Linked DNA regions of Canis lupus familiaris. The protein of the gene in region 1 interacts with the protein of each later gene in a pairwise test. Links are inferred from orthologs where the notes say so. Each region holds a gene or a part of one and is shown on either strand. Other genes may lie near its edges.

Region 1 (5,479 bases):
TGCCTTGTTTGGTGGTCTCTGATGTGCTTTGTGCACATCGGCCTCTCCATTTCCCCTTTCTTTGCAGGTCTTTCTAGGAATCTCTGTCTTTTCTCCCTCTCTGTGGGTCTCTGGCTGTCTCTGTGTGTGTGCATGTCTCTCTCCTTGGACCTCGGTCTGGGCATCTCTGCACACCCTGCGTGTGAGGCATAAGAGCTGGGAACGCCCCCTACTGCAGACCCAGCTCTGCTCCTGCTGTGTGGTGTGGCTTTGGGGGACTCTCCCCTCAGTCTTCTCATCTCCCTCACACCGGACCCCCAGGTAGCAGACTTGCAGCCATTTCTAGCTCAGAGAGAAACTTTATTCCTCAAGGACACCTTCAGGGCCAGGGCAGGGGGCAGCCAGCTCAGCCTTCAAACTTTTTCTTGCGGCCCTCCATTCCACTCAGCGCATCGATGTTCTTACGCCAGTCTCCCACCTCCCGGTTTTCCTGGAGGAATGGGGCCAGGAGTGAGGGCTTCTCTCCCATCTACACTCTCTCAAATAGCCTCCCCCCAATCTTTGGCCCGCTGGGCCACTCTGCTTTGGATGTCCATTTTGAGATCTGCTTCTGGAAGGCTTCTCATCCCCTCAGGCGATCCCATCAAAGTTGCCCCCATGCACATCCTATCTCCCTCATGCACTTCTGGCCTTGCTACTTCCTTTCTCCCTAATGCACTTCCTGGCTTCCCCTTCTACTTTCTGGCTTCCCCTTGCACTTCCTATGCCCCTCCTATACTTCCTATTGGGGACCTCTTACCAGATTCTTCTCCCCATAACTCCAAGTAGCATCTGCCCTGAGCTTAGGCCCAATGACTGTTATGTCCCACACCCTCTCCTCTGAGCACCCCCTTTCCTGGCTCTAGCCACACTCACCTTCTCTGTGTCCTCCTTCTTCACCTGCTTGAGGTGGGCCCGCAGGTCTAAGGACTCCTTAGCCCTGGTGCCCAGCAGCGCCTGCATCATGGCATCTGCAGAGATCCTCACCCTCCGCAGGGTGGGCCGCTTAAATTTGCCACGAAGGTCAAAGATCTTCTGGGTCAGATCTGCTATCTGGGGGCAGCCATAAGGGAAGGTAGAAACCTCCACCAGACCCATTCTTCCACCCTATACTTCCCTCTGCTCTCTTTCCAGGCCTATGGAGGTCTCATCCAGGCTCCTCATCCAGTAACTGTAAGCCCTCCCGACGGGCCCAGCCTCCTCTCTGAAAAACACTTGACACCTCCTGGTGCTGCTGCATGCATCCCACAATTTCCTGACCCATGCCTGAGCTCACCTATCAACAACACCCGATGCTCCAGCTACACATTTCCACGAATACAGCTTCTGCGTTCCCAACTCCTGGCTTTTGTGTGCTATTGTCCCCTCTGCCTGGAACAGCCTTCCCTAACCACTTTATACTCATTCTTCTGCCCCATCCCTGCCAGGCCCAGCTGTCCTGGGTCTCCTGGTGTCTGCAGTCAACAGCAGCTGCAAGGGCGTGGACTGAGACCACAACCCCAGGCACCAGACTTTACCCGAAGGGACCAAGACTGCCCAGGGCCCCCCACCTCTGTGATGTTCTTGGTGACTTTCGCCTCCACATCGTATCTCTCTTCATCCACTTTGTCCACTCGGGCGTGGAGTTGTCGGCACAAGTCCTGGTCAAGAATGTGGTATGTGTGGTTGGGGGACGGGGGTACTCTGACTCCTGAGTCTGAGGGAGGAGGCCCTGGGGGCCTGGACATCTAGTCCTAGAGGACTCTGGGGCAGCTGGAATAAAGGGTGCTGGGAGCCAGGAGTCCTGAGAATCTGACAGAATTGGGGCTGGAGAGCCTAATCTCTGGGTTTTGAGACTGTAGGCAGCTGCAGGCCATATTTCTGAACTCCTGAGGGTAAGGATTAGCAGACTGGATCACAAGGTCCAGAGCAGAGGTAGGGGACAGTGACTAGACCGGTGAGTCCAAACCATGCAGGAGCGGTCACTAGGTACCTCGGATCCCCAGCTGGGCAGGAGTCCCTGATGAGAACGGTACCTGCAGCTCCGCGAAGCCCAGCCCGGCTAACTCCAGCGGCTGGCACCGCGTGCTCAGGGCGCGCCCTTTCTCTCCGCGCCGCTCCTCCGCCTCCCTCTCCAGCTCTTGCTTCGCGATCTGCAGCATCAGGGTCTGCAGAGGCGAGGCCGGGGACCGCAGCCCACCCGGGGAGGCGGATGAGGGCTGCGCGGCATCCGCACCGGGGAGGCCGCCCTGGCCAGGACAGCCCCCCAGTTCCAGGCAGGGTCCGCGGTTTTCCAGAGACGCTCCCCTTCAATCCGAGGCTCCGCCCCCGTGGCGGGGAGAGGGTGGGTGCTGCTCACCACAAGCCACGCTCACTCCCCACTGAGGCCTCGTCCTACCCCCTCCCGCACCCGACCCTCCAGCTCCACCCCCTGAGGACACCTAGGCGCCCCCTCCAGGCCCACCAGCACCTTCAGCTGCAGTTTCCTCGAGGCGGAGATCTTGGACTTTTTCTGCCGGGGTGACATGGAGCAAGGAATAATCAGGGCGGGGAGTAGGAGACAGATGGTCGGGGGCATGGGTAGGTTCCAGATTTGGACTCGCTTCCCGCTGAAGCTGAGCCCCTCAGCCCCATCCACCAACCCTGACCCCCTGACTGCTTAGGCAGTTCCCATGGGCAACGAACTCCGCCCATAGGCAGGCCACACCAATCCGAGCCCTCCCTCCGCAAAACCCCGCCCCTAGGGCGCAGCTTCCTCCTAGGCTCCGCCCACAGCCAAAGCCCCGCCCCAGCCAAGGCTCTGGCACCGCCCCTCCACCCCTGGGTCCCGCCCCCTCTGCGGACCGGGAACCGAGCCCCGCCAGCCCCTCGCTCACCTTGGCGTGCGGCTCCGTGGCGTACGCGCGGTAGTTGGCGGAAGACTGGCGTCGGATCGGGGCCGGAGCGGGGGGCGGGCACCCCGCCTGGGGTTGGGGGGATGGAGCCACGTCACTGCGGGCCCCCCCAGCGCCCCTCTACGGGTGGAGCTGCCACCTCCCGCCCCAGGGCCCACCCTGCGGCTCCCTCCCCTGCCGTGGACCCCGGCCTGCGCCTCCTCTCACCGCATCGCCGCTCCTGAAGGAAGAGACCGGGAAGGGGGGGTTAATGGTGGGCCTCTGTCCCGTCCAGTCTAAGGGACCCCAGGGGCCGCCCACCAGCTGCCCAGTCCTCGGGTTCCAGGGAGTCTGGTTCCCAAACCTTTCTTCGTGCCGATAGCCAGGAGTCTGTCCCCACCTCCCTCCTCAGGCCTCACAGGCCCACGTCCCACCGCCTCGGGCCCTGCAGGTCCGAGTTCCCTAGATGCACTCACTCATCCGCCATGCGCAGACTCAGGCCAAGGCTTGCAGGAGGCAAAGAAGGGCAAGGGGCGATTGGAAGGTCAGTGAGGGGGCATCCGGGATGACCTTGAAGGCCCCCAGAGCTTCAGTCTGTCTGCACTGCTCAAGCTTCACTGAAGACACTGAGATAAGGGGCGTGGACTGAGACTAAATATACTGCTGCCACCTCCTCCCCCTGCCCAGGATGTGAGATAACCGGGGCGCGTGAGGGGTGGGGTGGGCTGTGCTCCAGCTGGATCACCCTTCCACCTTGGAGGCCTGGAACCCAGCCCCTCCTCCCTCACACGCAGGGGTTCAGGCCCCCATTCCCCTCCTCCAGCAGACACAGGAGTTCAGGCCCCCAGCCCTTCCTCCCTCAGATGCAGGAGTTCAGGCCCCCAGCTCCTTGGTTCTTCAGACCCAGAAGTCTGGGGCTCATCCCCACACTAAACAGTGATCTCCATGAGAGCTATGATCAGTTTCTGTGTCCCAAACCTGTTAGCCACTCAATAAATTTTGTTGATTTATGTGACGATCCAGGTATGGTCCAGACTCTCAGGCAATAACAGCCCAGAGAAATCCACTTGGAACTAGGTCTCCTCTCTTAACCACCCTAGCCCCTTCCCTGTCCCAGCCCTGGAGACAAAAGTGAAGACAAAGACACAAGGGCACATGAAGAAGAGGACACCACTCTTTTTATCTGGACTATGTGGGTGTGGACCAGCCCTGGAAAGCAGATTCCCCCAACCCTCAGGTAAAATAGGACCTCTGAGGACAAGAAAACCACATAGAGGGCCTGAGACTCAGGGCCGGATCTCTAGAGTCTCAAGAATGGAATGTGGAACCCTGAAAGAACACTCTAGAATTCTAGGAACAGAATATAGAATCCCAGGAAGGTAATCTGAAATTCTAGGGACACCGCTGGAGCTGTTGGAGAATATTGAGAGTATACCCGAGTGAATATTCTAGAGGCAAGCTCTACTTCCAGGACCTGACCTTAGAGGTCAGAGATGGGGGACTGGATATCTGGGAATGGGGTCAGACTCTCTGTGGGTGGAGCCAGAACCTTGGGGAGTAGAGCTGGAGTTTGAGGGGTTCTGAGCGCAGTTTGAGGGGCTAAGAGGGTGGGGTCCCGCCTTTGAGAGGCTGACTCTGGTTCTCAAGGGCCGGAGCCAGGGTGTCAGGGGGCGGAGTCATGGATTCCGAAGCTGAGTCAGTGTGCTGGCCAGCAGAGTCCAAGGCTTTGCAGAAGCGCGCAAAGGTCTCCGAGGGCCTGGCCTGGGGTGGGGGCGTGAATCCAGCCGCCTGAGCTAACTCTCCAACCCGGGCAGCAAAGCCCTGCAACTGCTCCTGCCTCAAGTCCACCAGGTACCTGAAACAAGGAAGGGGTATGTTAGGGGGTCCCCGGCTGTGAGCCCAGGGCTGGATATTCCCTGCCCTGCGCTCCCACTGGCTGGCTCACCGGGCCAATTCCACCACCAAGCGTCCTCCGGGGGCCACACAGGCCCCGAGATCGGGGCTGAGAAGATGCACCATCCTGAGTAGAGAAAAGTGAGGGCTGAGGGCTGAGACTTAGACTTTCAGGTCCTGAGGGAGTAGTGGGGCCAGGGAATCTGGGTGCTGACTGAGGAGGGGCTGAGGGCCAGGATTTCTGGGTGTGAGGGCAGAGGAGCCAGAGACCTCTTTCTTACCCACAGGCCACATAAAGCAGCTGGAACCGTCCCTTGTAGCAGCTCTTGTGGTGAAGGGTTTCTGCAGAGCCGAGAGGCAGGAAGCGCACAGTGAAGAATCCCGGGGCAGAGGCAGCTGGGGATGAACCCGCAGTTAGGCAGGCACACCAAGCTTGGAGATAATGCTCCTTGCCTACCTGTCTTGAAGCCCTTTCTCATCATCTCTCGTAGATGGATTCCTGGAAAGTTCTAGGAAGGTCAGCCCAGCAAGCAGAGATCCATTTTACAGACTAGGCAACTGAGGCTCAAGAGAGGGAAAGAGCGGGTGGCCCATGGCCATAAGGGTCATCCAGACACTCAGGAAGAGCCAGGTTAGGTGATGGTTACCAGGGCGCAGGACCAGAATCAGGGCAGGGGAAGGGTCTCTCCACGGGTGGGCTGGGCCCCAGCACCCTG
Region 2 (5,329 bases), on another chromosome or scaffold:
ATACTATCTATCATTGTCCCCATTTTACAGAGTAAAGGAAACTGAAGCACTGGGTGATCTGTCCCCAGCAATGAGGATTCAAACTCGGGCAGCCTGACACTAAAGCTAAAGCACCGCTGCACTGAGTCAGCTTGGCCCTGAGGCCTGCTAGAACTGAGTTGTGTGCAAAGAGCTATAGAAGCCAGAGCACAGCCAGTGGCAGAGGGATCAAGGGAGAAGATGGTATCTGAGCTGGGCTGAAAAATTTGCCAGGCTTATTAGAGGAGGAAGGGCATTCCAGCATGAGCAAAAGCCCAAAAGCTTCAAAGTGCACCTCCACTGTCCAGAGCAGTAAGGATAGATTACCCGGTGTGGCTGGAACCTGAGAGGGGTAGGAGGGGAAAGGAATTTGGACTTGATTCTAGAAGCGAAGGGGAGCCCTGAGGGTATTTCAACAAGGGAGCAGCCAGGTCAGATTTCTTTTAGCTAGATCTTGCTAATGGCCCCATGTTGAGCACACTGGCATTGGCGGGAGCTGGAGGCAGGGATGCAGGGTGGAGATGATGACGTCAGAACCTCCTTCCCGGCTGTGTGCCCCTACCCTCCTCTCCCATCTCCAGTATGGAGCACCTATAAACGCTCAGAACAGACGAAGTAGAAAAAGTCAACCAAGAGTGAATGCTGCCTGGAACGGATGGATACGATACCCGCTTCTCCATCGCCAGCCCGGTAGCTTGCACCCCAGACCCAAAGGCTCCAGAAAGGAACGACGGCGGGGAAGGAAAGGGGCCTCACCTCGGCCTCCCGCGGGTTCCAGCCTCCTGCCGCGCCCTCACCCTACCCGCCATCCCCGGCACCCTCACCCCGACAGCTCCAAGCGCCAACCCGCACCCCCACCGCCGGCCTCCCTCCTCCAGCGCCAGGCGCCGCGGCAACCCCGCCGGCCGAGCTGTGCACGCCCAGCGCCAGCGCCCGGGAACCTGCCCGGGGTCCCGCGCCTCGGTGCGTCCCGCAACTCGGGTGCCCGCTCCTTGGAGCCCCGAGGCGCTCGGGTGGTGCCCCGGACGGCGGCCCAGCCAGGCGGGCCCTGACACCCTCACTCAGGCTACGCGCTTCGCAGTGTCTGCTTTTATTCCCCTGCACACAGAGCCCGCAGGGGCCGCGCCTCCCTCCTGGGGCTGAGGCCGTGACGGGGCGGGGCGGGGGTGCCGGGCCCGCCCTCGCCCGAGGGACGCGCGTCGGGGCGGATGCGGGGGCGACTTCTTACTGCACGCCTTCCATCATCTTCAGGAACTCTGCGGGGATGGAGCGCGGAAGCGTCAGTCGCACGCACCGCCGGGGCTCCCGCCCTGCGGACAAAGCCACGGACGGCCGCGTGGGAGCCCCGCCCCGCGCCCCGCGCCCCGCGCCCCGCGCCCGCCCTCACCGTCGAAGTCGATGCGGCCGTCGTTGTTCTTGTCGCCGTCTTTCATCAGGGACTCAATCTCCTCGTCTGTCACGTGCTCCCCGGAGGCCCTGAAGATTTCAGCCAGCTCCTCCGCATCGATGTAGCCGTCTGCGTTCCTTGGGGCGAAGGGACAGGGTGTCAGGACAGGCGGGGGCGAGCCGCCCCCCACACCCCCACACCGCCCACCCGCGCCGCCTGGTCCGCGCACTCGCCCAGCCCAGCGCCTTCTCGGCTCCCCAGCCCTCAGTGCACCTGTCGAAGATGCGGAAACACTCGGCCAGCTCCTCCTCGCTCTTGCCCTTCGCATCCTCTTTCATCTGGCGCACCATCATGACCAAGAACTCCTCGAAGTCGATGGTGCCGCTGCCTGAGGCGAGCAGGTGGCGAGTGAGCCTGAGCCCTGCGGGCCCACCCCGCCCGCCGCAGTCGCAGCCCCTGGAGGGCCACCTGCTCACCATCCTCGTCCACCTCCTCGATGATGGCGTCCAGCTCCTCTTTGGTGGGGGTCTGGCCCAGCATCCTCATCACCGTGCCCAACTCCTTGACGCTAATGTCCCCGCCACCATCAGCGTCGAACATGTCGAAGGCAGCCTTGAACTCTGAGCGAGGCAGAGGACCGAGGTGGGCCTGGCTGGACTGTCAGCCTCACACCCTCCCTCCCACCCTGCCCAGCCCCCAGCACTGCCCAGCACGCAGCCACCCGCCCGCCGGCCCGCACTCACCAGCGATCATCTCCTCGCTGAGGTAGGACCGGGCCTCCGCCTGCTGGTCCGTCTGCAGGAGACACAGAGTCAGCCAGCAGAAGGGGTGGCCCCAGAGCTCATTCTTGCCTTAACCCCCTTCTCTTCAACCCCTTTCTGTCAGTGCCCTTTGGTCTTCCAGAAGAACAGTTCCAAACTAACAACACCTTCTGCATGCTCCCGCAGCACCTGAACCCCAGTTTTGAAGAACAAGGAGGAAACAGATTATGCCCAGGGTCTCCAAACCTGCTAATCAGATGTCAAGTCAGGAATCCCCCTTTCTAACCTTGGGCAAGTCACTTATTCTACTCTAGCTCTTCTCAGCTGCTTTTCAAGAATGAAAAGATCAGAGACGTCAAAGAGTTTTGTAAAGTACCAGCACTATTCCAGCATCATTTTTCAGTGTCCCCCAGCTCCCAGTAGAGCCTGGTACTATAATAGGGGCTCAGTAAATGTTCTCAATAATGCAAGGCAGAGTCATTGAGCCCCAACTAAGCGTCAGGCCAGACACTGGACACTGAGGCCAAGAAGACCCAGACACCCATCCCTTCCCTCCGACAACTTGTGGAGATGGAGATTTTAAGCTCCCTTCTTATCACTTAGCCATTGGAGTAAATCATAATCATGCTGGACAGAATATAATGGGGGCCTTGTGGAGGTGGAAATAAGATTTCGGGGGAGGCGATCTGGCCACATCCAAGCCAAGCCATCTGGCTATGGGACTTTGGACTGAGGCTGGCGGGGAGGAGGGGCTGAGGTGGCCAAGGCCTTCTTCGGCGGCCAGCTAGCCACTGCCCTCCTCCTTACCCTCCCCTCCTCCCTCCTCCTTGACCATGCAGGAGGGCAGGCTATTTTTAGCCTGGCATGGGCAACAGCAGCTGTCCTGTGGGGTCTAGTTACCCCTTGAAGTGGGGAGAGGGACCTCAGGGGAAATGACCTCCCTCTCTGGGAGGCTGGGGTCTCTAACCTTGGTCTATCATCTTCTGCCCCTTCTCTCCCTCATAGCTCTTGGGATCCTGCACCTTAGCTGGCTTGAAGCTCTGTAGGCCTCCCTTCTTCTAGAGGACTCCTCTCACCGGCAGTAGGATGATTTGGCAAGACCTCCAGCTAGCTCACCCCAGCCACTGGCTTGCTAGGTGACTCACTCTGGCCCTCAGGGTCCCCACCTCCACCGTGAGGGAGACAAGCTAACACCCCCCTCACAATTCCGTGGCCAACACTGCCAAAGCCTTAGGTCTGCAGGGAGTTGGCAATCCCAGAGCACCCAGCCCTCCCCTTCCTAGAGAAGTCCAAGGCCTTCTTCCCAGGCTTCCTCCTAGACATCTAGGCTCCAGGAGCCTACATGTTCCATCTTTAAACGTCCAATTACTGAACTACAGAGCACCCAGATCTGGCCTGGAAGAGGTCCAGAAGTGCTCCAGCAAGCAAAGGGATGAAGTTCCTTCTTGTCCTTACCATGGTTGCAAGTCACTGGGCCTCCCCTGCTTCAGGTCAGTCACCTCCTCAGCACTCCACCACCCAAAGATACCCTGGCCTGCTCCAGCACCTTGGATTTGTAGGGGCACCCTCTCCTCCCACCTCTCTGCTCCCCAGGACTAATTGCCCTGGCCAATCAGATCCTGGGGTCAGTGAGCACCTCCTCCTTTCCTCCCCCACCCCCATTCCAGAGTCCTGGCCCATTACCTAATTTAGCCAAGGGCCCTTGCAGAGAAATTTAAGCCTGTGAGCAGGTGGCAGGCCTTGACGTCCTAGATTCTTGGGAGAAGAACCCGCCCTGCTCCACTGCTTTAGGGAGCCCCTGCTCAAGAAACACGCTTGCTCCAAGATGGGTGAGGATAATCAGAATCCAGAAAAGTTGAAGCAGCATGGCAGACAGGAAAGAGCACGAGCCTTGAAGTCTTAAACCCAATACTTTCTTTGCAAGCTGTGTACTCTTAGGCAGGTGACATGCCACTCTGAGCTTCAGTTTCTGAGCTTCAGTTTCCTTCTCTGTGAGGTGGAGATGGGGACAGTCATGACCCGCCCTCACAGAGAGACCAATGAGAAATGGGGCCCAGGTGTAAGTCGCCGAGCTTGTGCCTGCTCTATAGGGTTGGTGCTTGGCAAGTGGAATGTCCTGTCTGAACCATGCTAGAGGGCAGGGGAGGGGAGGAGGAGAGAATGACAGCCAGTCACTGAACCTCTAGGTTCACACTCCATGCTAAGCATTTTAACCATGTGATCTCACCTAGTCGTCATCTATAGGGGAGAAGCTATTATTATTCCCTTTTTACTGGGGAGCTTTGTTAAATCACAAAGGTCTATAGTCATGTCAATGATTCTTATTATTCCTGAAGGGAAGTTGGGACAGCCAGGAGGGGACCTGTCCAAAGGAGAAATCTACAGATCCAGGAGATGGGTATGCATTTGGAAGAGAAATAAACATTGAGGGATGCCTGGGTGGCTCAGCAGCTGAGTGTCTGCCTTTGGCTCAGGGCATGATCCCAGTCTAGGGATGGAGTCCCACATTGGGCTCCCCACAGGGAGCCTACTTCTCTCTCTGCCTATGTCTCTGCCTCTCTCTCTCTCTCTGTATCTCTCTGAATAAATAAATACAATCTTTTAATTAATAAATAAACATTGAAAGCAGATCTTTCGAGTTTACCTGCTCCAGGGAAACGGTGTTTGTGATTCACTTTTTTTGAGGGAGAGGGGGACTGGGGGCAGGTTCTCTAGGTGGGTAAAGGGGCAGCAGGCCCTTTCCTAGAGCTCGGTGAAGAAGTCTGGAGCAGCTTGGCCGGCCATCTGGAGAGTGAAGGGATGGGCAGAGCAAGTCTAGTCCATACTGAGCCCAACACCCAGGGTCTGGGCTGGGTGTTGGAGAGGTAGCCGAGGCTGTGGACAGCAGCTAAGTCAACAGAAAGAGCACTAAGGCAACTGAGCGCAGAGCCCAGGGCCAGCGAAAGGAGGCTGGATTCCAAGGAAAGGCAGATAGACAGTGGCAGCTGGGCTGCCATCTTCCTCTATTTATAGACATTCCCAAGAAAAGCTCAGTGGAGCCAAGCCGGGCTACATAAGGCCTCCCCCTGCCAGGCAGAGGGCCAAGGGGCAGCGACACTAGGGGAGTCCAATTTGGATGTGAGCCCTGGAACCACAATGATTTCTTTGAAGCAGAGAGTTTGGA

What was found.
Region 2: the proteins of TNNI3 (region 1) and TNNC2 interact in binary tests that used the Homo sapiens proteins (3 or more experiments, as listed by UniProt). The two-hybrid records come from large-scale screens. The link is inferred for Canis lupus familiaris from reciprocal best matches to the Homo sapiens genes TNNI3 and TNNC2.

What each region holds. Positions count from the first base shown.
Region 1 is NC_049222.1:103,239,283-103,244,761, reverse strand, and holds TNNI3 (troponin I, cardiac muscle), read right to left. Parts: upstream 3,497-5,479; 5' UTR 3,358-3,496; coding exon 3,347-3,357; intron 3,112-3,346; coding exon 3,099-3,111; intron 2,961-3,098; coding exon 2,874-2,960; intron 2,510-2,873; coding exon 2,468-2,509; intron 2,166-2,467; coding exon 2,034-2,165; intron 1,659-2,033; coding exon 1,569-1,658; intron 1,435-1,568; exon of another isoform or gene 1,153-1,434; intron 1,072-1,152; coding exon 895-1,071; intron 470-894; coding exon 386-469; 3' UTR 323-385; downstream 1-322. Other genes in the region: DNAAF3 (dynein assembly factor 3, axonemal), read right to left, coding at 4,470-4,725, 4,816-4,890, 5,045-5,159. UniProt on the Homo sapiens protein: Troponin I is the inhibitory subunit of troponin, the thin filament regulatory complex which confers calcium-sensitivity to striated muscle actomyosin ATPase activity.
Region 2 is NC_049245.1:33,758,815-33,764,143, forward strand, and holds TNNC2 (troponin C, skeletal muscle), read right to left. Parts: upstream 3,746-5,329; 5' UTR 3,625-3,745; coding exon 3,622-3,624; intron 2,201-3,621; coding exon 2,149-2,200; intron 2,026-2,148; coding exon 1,882-2,025; intron 1,794-1,881; coding exon 1,679-1,793; intron 1,543-1,678; coding exon 1,406-1,542; intron 1,275-1,405; coding exon 1,243-1,274; 3' UTR 1,086-1,242; downstream 1-1,085. UniProt on the Homo sapiens protein: Troponin is the central regulatory protein of striated muscle contraction. Tn consists of three components: Tn-I which is the inhibitor of actomyosin ATPase, Tn-T which contains the binding site for tropomyosin and Tn-C.